3 linked regions of the Callithrix jacchus genome follow. The protein of the gene in region 2 interacts with the protein of the main gene of each other region in a pairwise test. Links are inferred from orthologs where the notes say so. Each region holds a gene or a part of one and is shown on either strand. Other genes may lie near its edges.

What was found. The genes of interacting proteins can lie anywhere in the genome.
Region 1: the proteins of TRIM63 (region 2) and TNNT1 interact in a two-hybrid assay, tested with the Homo sapiens proteins (2 studies listed by BioGRID and IntAct). The link is inferred for Callithrix jacchus from reciprocal best matches to the Homo sapiens genes TRIM63 and TNNT1.
Region 3: the proteins of TRIM63 (region 2) and MYBPC3 interact in a two-hybrid assay, tested with the Homo sapiens proteins (2 studies listed by BioGRID and IntAct). The link is inferred for Callithrix jacchus from reciprocal best matches to the Homo sapiens genes TRIM63 and MYBPC3.

What each region holds. Positions count from the first base shown.
Region 1 is NC_133523.1:48,010,642-48,014,825, forward strand, and holds the start of TNNT1 (troponin T, slow skeletal muscle), read right to left. Parts: upstream 2,804-4,184; 5' UTR 2,752-2,803; intron 1-2,751. UniProt on the Homo sapiens protein: Troponin T is the tropomyosin-binding subunit of troponin, the thin filament regulatory complex which confers calcium-sensitivity to striated muscle actomyosin ATPase activity.
Region 2 is NC_133508.1:62,712,437-62,715,946, forward strand, and holds part of TRIM63 (E3 ubiquitin-protein ligase TRIM63), read right to left. Parts: intron 2,241-3,510; coding exon 2,007-2,240; intron 1,134-2,006; coding exon 1,111-1,133; intron 811-1,110; coding exon 686-810; intron 1-685. UniProt on the Homo sapiens protein: E3 ubiquitin ligase. Mediates the ubiquitination and subsequent proteasomal degradation of CKM, GMEB1 and HIBADH.
Region 3 is NC_133511.1:112,407,861-112,412,005, forward strand, and holds the start of MYBPC3 (myosin-binding protein C, cardiac-type), read right to left. Parts: upstream 2,804-4,145; 5' UTR 2,749-2,803; coding exon 2,724-2,748; intron 1,605-2,723; coding exon 1,338-1,604; intron 686-1,337; coding exon 572-685; intron 203-571; coding exon 104-202; intron 16-103; coding exon 1-15. UniProt on the Homo sapiens protein: Thick filament-associated protein located in the crossbridge region of vertebrate striated muscle a bands. In vitro it binds MHC, F-actin and native thin filaments, and modifies the activity of actin-activated myosin ATPase.

The DNA of each region.
Region 1 (4,184 bases), on a different chromosome or scaffold from region 2:
TGAGGGGGGAGGCGCTGGGGGCCTGGACTCCTGGGTCTGAGGGAGGAGGGGCTGGGGTCTGGACACCTGGGTCCGAGGGAGGAGGGGCTGCGGCCTGGACTCCTGCGTCTGAGGGAGGAGGGGCTGGGGTCTGGACCCCTGGGTCCGAGGGAGGAGGGACTGGGGTCTGCACTCCTGGGTCCGAGGAGGGAGAGGCTGGAGTCTGCACTCCTGGGTCTGAGGGGGGAGAGGCTGGGGTCTGGACTCCTGGGTCCGAGGGAGGAGGCGCTGAGGGTCTGGACTCCTGGGTCTGAGGGAGGAGGGGCTGGGGTCTGGACTCCTGGGTCCGAGGGAGGAGGGGCTGGGGTCTGGATTCCTGGGTCCGAGGGAGGAGGGGCTGGGGTCTGGACCCCTGGGTCCCAGGGAGGAGGCGCTGAGGGTCTGGACTCCTGGGTCCGAGGGAGGAGGGACTGGGGTCTGGACTCCTGGGTCCGAGGGAGGAGGAGCTGGGCTCTGGATTCCTGGGTCCGAGGGAGGAGGGGCTGGGGTCTGCACTCCTGGGTCTGAGGGAGGAGGGGCTGCGGCCTGGACTCCTGGGTCCGAGGGAGGAGGGGCTGGGATCTGCACTCCTGGGTCCGAGTGGGGAGGGGCTGGGGTCTGCACTCCTGGCTCCGAGGCGGGAGAGGCTGGGGTCTGCACTCCTGGGTCCGAGGGGGGAGAGGCTGGGGTCTGCACTCCTGGCTCCGAGGCGGGAGAGGCTGGGGTCTGCACTCCTGGGTCCGAGGCGGGAGAGGCTGGGGTCTGCACTCCTGGGTCCGAGGGGGAGGGGCTGGGGTCTGCACTCCTGGGTCCGAGGGGGAGGGGCTGGGGTCTGCACTCCTGGGTCCGAGGCGGGAGAGGCTGGGGTCTGCACTCCTGGGTCCGAGGGGGGAGGGGCTGGGGTCTGCACTCCTGGGTCCGAGGGGGGAGGGGCTGGGGTCTGGACTCCTGGGTCCGAGGCGGGAGGGGCTGGGGTCTGGACTCCTGGCTCCGAGGGGGGAGGGGCTGGGGTCTGCACTCCTGGGTCCGAAGGGGGAGAGGCTGGGGTCTGCACTCCTGGGTCCGAGGCGGGAGAGGCTGGGGTCTGCACTCCTGGGTCCGAGGGGGAGGGGCTGGGGTCTGCACTCCTGGGTCCGAGGGGGAGGGGCTGGGGTCTGCACTCCTGGGTCCGAGGCGGGAGAGGCTGGGGTCTGCACTCCTGGGTCCGAGGGGGGAGGGGCTGGGGTCTGCACTCCTGGGTCCGAGGGGGGAGGGGCTGGGGTCTGGACTCCTGGGTCCGAGGCGGGAGGGGCTGGGGTCTGGACTCCTGGCTCCGAGGGGGGAGGGGCTGGGGTCTGCACTCCTGGGTCCGAGGCGGGAGAGGCTGGGGTCTGGACTCCTGGGTCCGAGGGGGGAGGGGCTGGAGTCTGCACTCCTGGGTCCGAAGGGGGAGAGGCTGGGGTCTGCACTCCTGGGTCCGAGGCGGGAGAGGCTGGGGTCTGCACTCCTGGGTCCGAGGGGGGAGGGGCTGGGGTCTGCACTCCTGGCTCCGAGGCGGGAGAGGCCGGGGTCTGGACTCCTGGCTGTCTCAGGAGGACAGGCCCTGGTAGGTGTGGTCTGAGGCACAGCCCGGAGGCTGCAGACCCTGCCCCCCTCAGCACAGCTGTTCTCTTTTGTCTTATGACAAGCCCATGGGAACCTGATCCAGCTGGGATTAGGAGGAGGCATTTGAGAAGGGACAGTGGCCTGAAGACAATAGCTGCCCCACCCCCAGGAGCTATTTTGGGGGGATGTCGTAGATGGTGAAACAGAGGACATTTCCTAAGAAGGGATTTGAGGAAGGGGGGCTTCTGGGAGAGCTGGTCACCTGCATCCCTCTCCCACCCACCCCTCCCGCTGGCTGCTTTCCTCCCCACCTGTCTCCCCTTTCACCTTCCCATACATCACACGGGGCGGGGGGGTTGGGGCAGCGCCCAAAGGGCACCTTCTGTCCACAGACCTCACTCTGACCCCTACATTCTTAGACCCCGAAGTCTTCAAGACATCCTAGGCCACAGGGTGCCCATCCCCAAATCCCAATACCCATGGATTCTGAGACCTGGATTTTTGGTGCCTGTGTTTCTGAGACCACAAGTCCTCACAGCTCCAGATTCTGACAGCCCATTTCCTGATGGTCCACATATGGGCCAGGACATCCTAAGACCTCCTAAATTCTGAAGCCTCGAGAATATGAGACCCCCCCAAAACCTTGATACCCAAACTCGGAGGCCCAAATGATGACGCCCCAGATAATGACACTCCAGGTGGTGATGGTTTCTATCCTAAACCTCAGATTCTGAGGCTTCCACTCCTAAAACCCCAGATTCTGAGACCCCGCCCCAATTCCTGATACCCTCAGAGTCTGAGCCCCAAATCCTGATACCCAGACTGTTTGACCTCCAAGTCCAGATGTCCCTGACTTCTGAGCTTTCCCCCAAGACCCCCAGAACCCCAAGATCTAGGTGGTTTTATTCTGGGACACCCAAGTCCTGGCAGCCCCAGACTAGGATCTCTGTAACCCACAAATCCTAATATTTTCCCCTCTATCCCAAGTCCCCCTAAAGTCCGAGCCTCTCAAGTTCCGAGACCTCCAGTTGTATTCCCCATGTACCTCTGCATGATTTCTCCACACCCCACATCTTCCCCACCTGCCTCCTGCCCCCTCTCCCAAGGACACCGTCCGTGGAGATCACAGGGCCCAGCAGAGCCCCTTACCTATACCTAGGCTGCGTCTGAGATCCTGTGAATCTTGTGGCTGAGCCTCACCACGGGCACTGAAGCTCCAGGGGTTTTATAGCTGGAGGCTGGGCCCCGCCCCGAGGGGAGAGGGAGGAGGAGAGAATTCCTTTGCTCAAACACAAGTCTGGGAGCTCAGAGACAGCCCTGCTGTTCCTCTCGTTTTTCAAACTAAGGGTCCAAATGCCTCCGTGGGCTCCTCCCCAACCCCATCAGCGGGGCCCTGGAGCCCTGCTCCCACCCCCAGCCCCAGGCCCCCACGGTGCTCCAGCTACCTCCCTTATAGCTGCCTCCCTGCATTTGATGTCCCAACGTCCAGCACACAGTAGGTCCTTGGAGAACCTACTAATGACAAAAAGGCTATAAGGAATGTTTCCAGTTTTCCTCTCTGTTCCCTCTTTCTGGACCCGTTTCTGTGGTCTCTGTGGCTCTCCATCTGTGTATCTCTATATGTCTGTCTCTGCTGCTTAGTCTCCCCCTGTGTCTGTCCATCTTTCTGTCTCCCCACCCCCACCCCTTTGTCTGCCACCAGGATTCCATACTTGTGACAACAGGCACTAAAGCCAGGAAGCAGGTGTTGGGGGGAGGGGAGGGGAGGATGGGGTGTCAATTAGGGTGGAAACCTACCCTCTCTCCCCCCGTCCATCTGACACTGATCTTTTTTGGCATCCCCCTCCCTCTTCCCAGCCAAGCCACGACCTTGAACTCCAGGTTCAACCAGCCCTGGAGAGCAGACTTCCTCACCCTTCACGCCTCTCAGTGTCTGTCTCCTGTGGTATCAGTCTTTGTGTGTTTCTATGCATTTTCTGGGGTCCCTCGCTGGCTCTCTGTCTTGGGCTGTCTCTGAATCTGTCTCTTTCCGTGACCCTCAGTGTGTTTCTTGGCAAATGTCTCCAGGTGGTTTTGTCTCTGCATGTCTGCCCCTCTCTGCGTTTGTGTCTGTGGGGGCTCACAGTCTCTCTGTGCATTTCTGTCCACCTGAGACCCCATATCTGTGTGGGTAACCCCTTTCTGGGCACCAAGGAAGGAGAGCTAAGCAGACCCCCGGCACGATTAGTGCCTGAAGAATATCTTACTGCTCACTCCTCACTTATTTCCTTTTATATATAATCTCTTCATAGATAATCATGCCTTAGTTTGTAGTTGGAGGAATGTCTAGAGCAGACACACTGCAGAGCATGAACTAGGGAAAAACAGCCACACCAGGACAAGAATCAATGACCCAGGCGGTAGAGCCCCTGCCTGAAAGGGCAAGCGCTACGTGGCAGGTCTGCCCAGGTGGCAGCGTTCGGGTATGGTAATGACACCCGCTGTATGGCAGGCTTGCAGCAAGAGTCACTCCTCCTGAAAGGGAGTTGTAGTATCTTGTGCAGAGTTCTTGTGGAAAGCTGGCCTCAGGCTGGCAATCCCTC
Region 2 (3,510 bases):
TTGTTTTTAACCTGATTTTTTAAATTAGAAAATAAAACTCAGGCAGAAGGGGGCCTGCCAAAGGTCACACAGATAATAAACACGTGGCAAAACCGGGATTTTAAACTCAAGACTGTCTGATTCCAGAGGCCACCTTATTTCTACTGCCCCAAGAGGCCTCCCTGCCATGGATCCATATGTAATTTATGGAGCAGAAATTCTGCACCAGCCACTGTGCTAGCTCTGGGCTCATCTAGAAGTTGGCTATATGAATTTTTTTTTGAGACGGAGTCTGGCTCTGTTGCCCAGGCTAGAGTGCAGTGGCACGATCTTGGCTCACTGCAACCCCTACCTCCTGGATTCAAGTGATTCTCCTGCATCGGTTTCCTGAATAGCTGGAATTACAGGCACGTGCCACCACGTCTGCCTAATTTTTGTATTTTTAGTAGAGGAGGTTTCACCATGTTGGCCAGGCTGGTCTCAAACTCCTGACCTCAAGTGGTCCATCTGTCTTGGACTCCCAAAGTGCTGGGATTACAGGCGTGAGCCACCACAGCCAGCCTCACAGAAGTTGGCTATATGAATTTGATTGATATCTGGGGATGTTTATTAGTGAATCTGCCTCCCCATGGGGTTCAGTGGAAGAGATGCTGGTTTCCAGGGATCAGGAAGGCAAATAGACAAGTGGCACCACCACCTCCTTTACCTGTCCCAAAGTCGATGGCTCTCAGGGCGTCTGCTATGTACTCTAAATCCAAAGTAAAGCAGTCCATGTTCTCAAAGCCCTGCTCTGTCTTCCCCAACTGGCAGCCCTTGGAAGCTTCCACAATGCTGTGGGGGAGACATAGAGAGAGGCTGGGTGAGATCTCTGGGGCTCAGCGCAGGGAGGAGAGGGCACATGCCTTGCCCACGCCCAGGCCTTCCACCCTGAGGCTCCCCTGGAGGGATGGAGTATTTCCTCTCAAATCTCAAGCACAATGAGTGGTCCCAAAAGTCAGGGATGCAGAAGGTCAGGGAAGCCAGCCTGGAGCGAGACCCTCCAGCAGACCTAATGCTCAGGACAAGGCTTTCTGGACAGAGGCAATGCTGGGAACTGGGGGCTTAGATCATAGCCTCTGGGGAGATACTGACCTTTTGATGAGTTGCTTGGCAGTCTGCAGGGGGAGAGAGAACAAAGGGTTAGGACTACAGAAGCGGACTCCAGGAAATCAGCAAAACCAGCGACTGGGTGTTGTAGTTGGACATTTGGTGCCCTACCCTAGCCAAGTTGTGACCTGCTCCCCACCCCAAACTGAGCAGAATTTGACTTTTCTCTCTGTCCATGGTCTGCACAGGACTTGGTCATCACCCTAGGACCCTCCCATTGTCTTGGCAGGAAGCTTAGACTCTGGGGGTATCAATCCAAACACTCTGAAACCCTGAACTCCCCAATCCTAACCACCTTTTCATACCTAATGTCTAGCACAAAGCCTGGCCCACAGTAGAAGCTTAGAAAATGTTTATTGAACTGAACTGTGAAGACTGTTCTTTTATTTTTTTAAAGATGGGGTTTCACCATATTAGTCAGGCTGGTCTCAAACTGCAAACCTCAGGTGATCCACCCACCTCGGCCTCCCAAAGTGCTGGGATTACAGGTGTGAGCCACCGTGCACGGCCTGAACTGTGAAGTCTTACAACTGAGACTTTTCTGTCCTCCCCAACAAGCTCTTTGAGGGCAGGGCTGTGTCTGGTTTATCTCCTTGTCCTCTACTCTGTGCCTGGCCTACAGTAGGGGCTCAATTAATAGTCTGTAGATGGGACACTATTTGCAGCTTACAAAGTCATTTCATAAACATCCTCTGATCATTCTAAAATCAGTAAGAGGAAGGTAGGGGTGTCACATGCCCATTTTCTCATACAAATGAGAAAAGTGAGGGGTTTAAATGACTTTTCCAAGGGTCCATGGGTTGTCAGTAGAGAAGCCTAACTGGAAACTTAGAGCTGTAGAGTTGAACTGACTCCACCCAGACCCTTCTAGTCCTGCTCACCAAGAGGAAGGTGGCTCCCCCAGGCTCGTCCAGGGACTGGATGGCAGTCTCCACCAGCTTCGTGGACTTGTCGAGCTGCTCCTGGTACTGCTGGATGAGGGCCTCAATGAAGCTGAGCTTTTCTTCCTGCTCCTGAGTGATCCGCTGCAGCAACTCACTTTTCTTCTCATCCAGGATGGCGTACAGTGTGTCAAACTTCTGGCTCAGCTCTTCCTTTACCTGGTGACTGTTCTCCTGAAGACAGAAGTCTTGCAGTCACATTCTGTAGGGTCCTTACTCCCTGCCCCCTACACTCCCTTCCTGGGACAGTAGCAAGCAATTTTGAAAGCTAGAAGAGATTTCATTACATACATCCCCACATTACAGAAGATTAAACAAAGGCTTAACAAGAAGAAAACACTCATCTGGCCTCACAGCTACTTAGTACACCAGTGATATTTGGAGGCTAATGCCTTGAAATACAGCTAGCCCCTTCTTCCAAAACAGGCCCTAGGGTCACATGACATAACATGTTCTGCCTTGTTACTGCACCCTTCCCCTGTCCCCCAACCTCAGCTGGTCATTGGAGCACCACCTCTCAGACCAGTGCAACAGTCAGCAATGTGGGATCTACCTTCTCTTCCTCTGTTGCCTTTTTTTTTTCTTTTTTTGAGATGGAGTCTTGCTCTGTCACCCACGCTGAGTGCAGTGGCACAATCTCAGCTCACTGCAACCTCCGCCTCCCAGGTTCAAGTGATTCTCCTGACTCAGCCTCCCGAGTAGTTGGGATTACAGGTGCATGCCACCACAGCCAGCTAATTTTTTGTATTTTTAGTAGAGATGGGGTTTCACTGTGTTAGCCAGGATGGTCTCAATCTCCTGACCTCATGTTGCACCTGCCTTGGCCTCCCAAAGTGCTGGGATTACAGGTGTGAGCCACCCCACCTGGCTTTCTTTTGTCTTTTAGCTGTGTTTCCCTTCTAGTTGTGTGACCTTCAGCAAATTAATGTATTTGCTTCCATTCAGTTTCCTGGGCCTCACATATGTCCCAGGTCACACTCTTCCCTCCCTTTTAGGATCAAGACTGGATTTGGGAAGCTCTGCATCATTTGTTCCTAAGAGAGGTGGAAAAACAGCTCCTTTCCTATACGCTTCTCAGTGGAAGCTCCCTTCTCTCTGTCACAGATGTTACAGCTTAGTTCTTTTCTGTAAAGTGCTTGTGACAATCGCATCTCATCAGACTGGGAGCATCTTGTGGGTGATCACAACGTTCCCCTCCTTCCTACCCGTCACCTGACTCTTCATCCACTAGCAATTATCATGACCCCTTTCCTTCATCTCATCTCCAGGTCCCTACCCAAGTGAACATGGAAAATCATGGAAGCTTTTTTCAGGGATAGAAAGTTCCTTTCTGCCCTCAGTAGTCTCACTACTCAGAGTGTGGTCCATGGACCCAGCAGCTTGGACAAATCCTGGGAACTGGCTAGAAATGCAACTGTTTTTCCTCATTCCAAACTGATTCAAT
Region 3 (4,145 bases), on a different chromosome or scaffold from region 2:
AGGTGATACTGCCACCTGCGAGGGCAGGGTGACAGGCCTGGCTTGGGGAGTGTCCTGCTGCCCCCCTTCCCATCCCCTGCTGGGCACAGCAACTCACACTCACCCACAGTCACCTCGCCATCCTGTGGCCGCATCACGAAAAGTCCAATGGGGTCATCGGGGGCTTCAGGGGTGGTGCCGCTGGGAGCTGCTGAGCTTGACCCTGCGAGCAAAGGCTTTGTTTTTTCTTGAGACGGAATCTCACTCTATCCCCCAAGCTGGAGTGCAATGGCTCAGTCTCAGCTCACTTCAACCTCCACCTCCCAGGTTCAAGCGATTCTCCTACCTCAGCCTCCTGAGCTGTGGTTACAGGCATGTGCCACCATGCCCAGCTAATTTTTTGGTAGAGATGGGGTTTCACCATGTTGGCCAGGCTGATCTCAAACTCCTGACCTCAAGTGATCCACCCACCTTGGCCTCCAAAGTACTGGGATTATAAGCCTGAGCCACCTTACCTGGTCAAGCAAAGGCTTTTGAGACCTGCCCCAGACACCCCCTCCCCACAGATTCTGCCCCTCCCTGCCCCTCTCACCTTCAGGACTTGGGGCACTTCCTCCCAGCTCAGCAGCTGGGGCCGGGGCTTCTCCAGGGGCTTGAGTGCCCTCAGCAGGGGAAGGGGCAGGGGCCAGCATGGCCTCTGCCTTCTCTGGAGGGGATTGGATGGGAGTTGTGGTGTAGTCACTAACCAGAGACCCCTCTACACTCTCTCTCCCGAGCATTGGACCCCTGAGCCTGCTGTGAACGAGGAAAGTCCGTCCTGTCTGACCCCCAGTGCCCGGGCCCCTCAGAGGCAGCGCATACTGAGCTGGAGAGCCAGCCTGACTCTCACATTCTCCTCCCTGCCCCCAGCCATCAGTCCCCACATCCGCTGCACCTGCCCCTAACAGCTCCAGGTCCATTCCTGCCCTAGCTCTGCCCCAGCCTTGGAGCAGCCCCTCAGACTGGGCTGTGTGCCTTGTCACCCACACCTCCGGCAGGGCTTCCCTGCTGGCACACAAGGTGTCATCTGTGCCTGGTCATCTCCCCAGGGAGGTCTGCAGGGGGAGGGTGGGGTTGAGTCTTGTTCACCTCTCCCACCTCCAGCATGGCTAGGAGGCCAGGGTGGCATATGGGGGTACTTAGAGAGGTCATGTGCAGAAAAGGGGAAAGGGCGTTCCTGGTGGGGGGTGTGGGGGCACAGCCACAGCAAAGGCAAGAAATTGTGAAAGCACCTCCCGTTCCCTGGATGGATGAAGAAGCACCTCACTGCCCCTCCCCCCAGAAGCCTGAACCTCAGGGAAGGCTGACCAGGATCTTACCTGCTTCTATGACCTTGAGTTCGAACTTGACCTTGGAGGAGCCAGCAATGACTGCGTAGGCCCCTTGGTCAGCAGGTCCCACCTCCCGCACTGTCAGTGTGTGTCGTGTGCCCTCTGCAGCCAGGATGTACTTGTCACTGGCACTGATGTCGCTGCCTCTGTGCTGCCAGCGCACCTTCACTCCTGCCCGCTCTGTCTCGGCCTCGAACACGGCAGGGCCACCTGCTGCCACTTCCACTGACCGTGGCTTCTTGCTGAAAGCTGAGACTGAAGGGCCAGATGGAGGCTACAGCAGCCCCTAGCTGGGGCGTGCACCCCACCCCTGCAGCCCCTTTTAGTAAATACTGTGATAAGCAGTTACCATGCATCCCCTCGTGTAATACTCCTATAGTATTATTACGAGGTAGGTGCAGTTACTCTGTCATTTCTCAGAGGAGGACACTGAGGCTCAGAGAAGCTAAGTGGCTCCTCCAAGATCACACAGCCTATAGTCAGGAGAGCCAGGGCGGTGGTCCTGACCTCCACACAAGACTTTTGTGCTGTGTGTGTCCCCTGGATATGCCACTCTCCCAGCTTGGAGATAGCTGTGAGGAGCCCAGCTCCCCTCCCCCACCATCTGGGGCCCTTGGCGGGGGCAGGGAACTCTGCCTTTTTGGAATGTGGCCAAATTTGTCCTCCAGGGACCTCAGGCTGAGAATCAGCAACTGAGATAAAGCTGGCCTGGGAGGGCACTGGGGAATGGGGACCTGGATCTCTGCCCTGGACAACCTTGGTAAGGGCACGGCCCAGGCCCAGGACCCTGGGCTGTGATTTTCCCTGCCCTTGGCCTGAGTTCAGGGGCTCCTGACTGTCCTCTTTCAGAGAAGAGGGACTGTATCACCCCCAACATGGGGACCACACCATACAGGCTCATGAAGCAGATAATGTCACAACCAGGAGGAACCAACCCACCACCACACCCGCCCCAGTCCCCAGGTTGGGAGACTAAGTCCCAGAGTGGGTGGAGACTCGTCTGAGGGCACCGCGTGAGCCTGGCTGTGCTCCGCATAATTGTGAGCTCTGTCTGCGGGGATCCCTGCTGTGGAAGGAGAAGGAAATGGGGCAGGGATGGTGTCCCTTTGAGTTCTGAGTTGACCCGGCTGCTTCCTATCTTGGCTGTGTCCCCTCTCTGCGTCCCTGACCCTGGGTTTACCTTCACCTCTCATCAGAGGGATGGGAGAAAGAAACTGAGAATCAAAAAAGGACCTAGGAGGACTGGCTGACCCATCCTGGGGCTCAGTGGCCATGTCTTCTTCAGCTCCCTCAAGAACTCCCTCCTAGCCCTGCTCCCCAATTGTAGACACCCCCTGCTCCCACACTTAGACCCAACCGCAGGCCCGGAGCTACCTGGCTTCTTCCCCGGCTCAGGCATCCTGAGAGACGTCACACCAGGCACCAAGCAGGCACAGGCCACCCTAAGAGGGAGTGAGTGGGGTCCTGTCCTTCCCACTATATATGGAGACCTCCCCCCTCCCCAGGCACTGCTTATCTGCCTCTTGTCCAGCCACCTGCTAAATATAGATGAATTCCAGAGAGCTGAGGTCTCTCCAGGGAGATGGTAGGGCCACGCTGTCCCTGGCTGGCTCTTGTTCCTTCCCCCCCCCTACTCCCGAAGCACAATAGAAGGGCTTCTGCCTCCCCAACCCTTGATGAACCTCGGGGGTACCCCAAGCCTTGTGTGTGTCCTGCTCACAGCATATTGTACGGTGGGAGCATGCTTGGCCCATAACCCTGAGGCTGATGGGTCAGCAGCATCCTTGCCAGCGGTTAAGGCAGTGGCCACATCCACAGACCCTGGGGCCAGGCTGCCCCTGAGTCCTGGCACTGCCATCTCTTCTATCTCAAAGCACCTGGTTTCCTCATCTGTAAAGCAGGGCAGGTAACAGCAGCACCCACTGCACAGGATTGTCAACCTATGAAGTGGGTTTATCATTTTTAAAATGCTAGGCTGGGTAGGGTGGCTCATGCCTGCAATTCCAGCACTTTTGGAAGCCAGGCAGGTGGATTGAGGCCAAGTTTTTGAGATCGGCCTGGGCAACATGGCAAAACCCCATCTCTACTAAAAAAATAAAGGCCAAGCGCGGTGGCCCACGCCTGTAATCGGCAGATCGGGCGGATCACGAGGTCAGGAGTTCAGGACCACCCTGGTCAACATGGTGAAACCCCGTCTCTACTAAAAATACAAACATTAGCCGGGCATGGTGGTGCGTACCTATAATCCCAACTACTCAGGAGACTGAGGCAGGAGAACCCCTTGAGCCCGGGAGGCAGAGGTTGCACTGAACCAAGATCATGCCACTGCACTCCAGCCTGGGCAACGGTGTGAGACTCCATCTCAAAAAATTAAATTAAAATAAAATAAATACACACACAGAAATTAGTCAGGTGTGGTGGTGTGCACCTGTAGTACCAGCTATGTAGGAGGCTGAGGTGGGAGGATGGCTTGAGTCCAGGGAGTTCGAGGCTGCAGTGAGCCAAAATCATACCACTGCACTGCAGCCTGGATAATGGAGTAAGACTGTGTCTCAAAAAATAATAATAAAATAAAAATGGGCTGGGCGAAATGGTTCACATTTGTAATCTCAGTACACTGGGAGGCCGAGGCAGGCAGATCACTTATGTTCAGGAGTTCAAGACCAGCCTGGGCAACATGGTGAAACCCCACCTCTACCAAAAATACACAAATCAGCCAGGCATGTGACGCACACTTGTTGTCACAGCTACTTGGGAGGGTGAGGCGGGAGAATCATTTGAGCCCAGGAGGTCAAA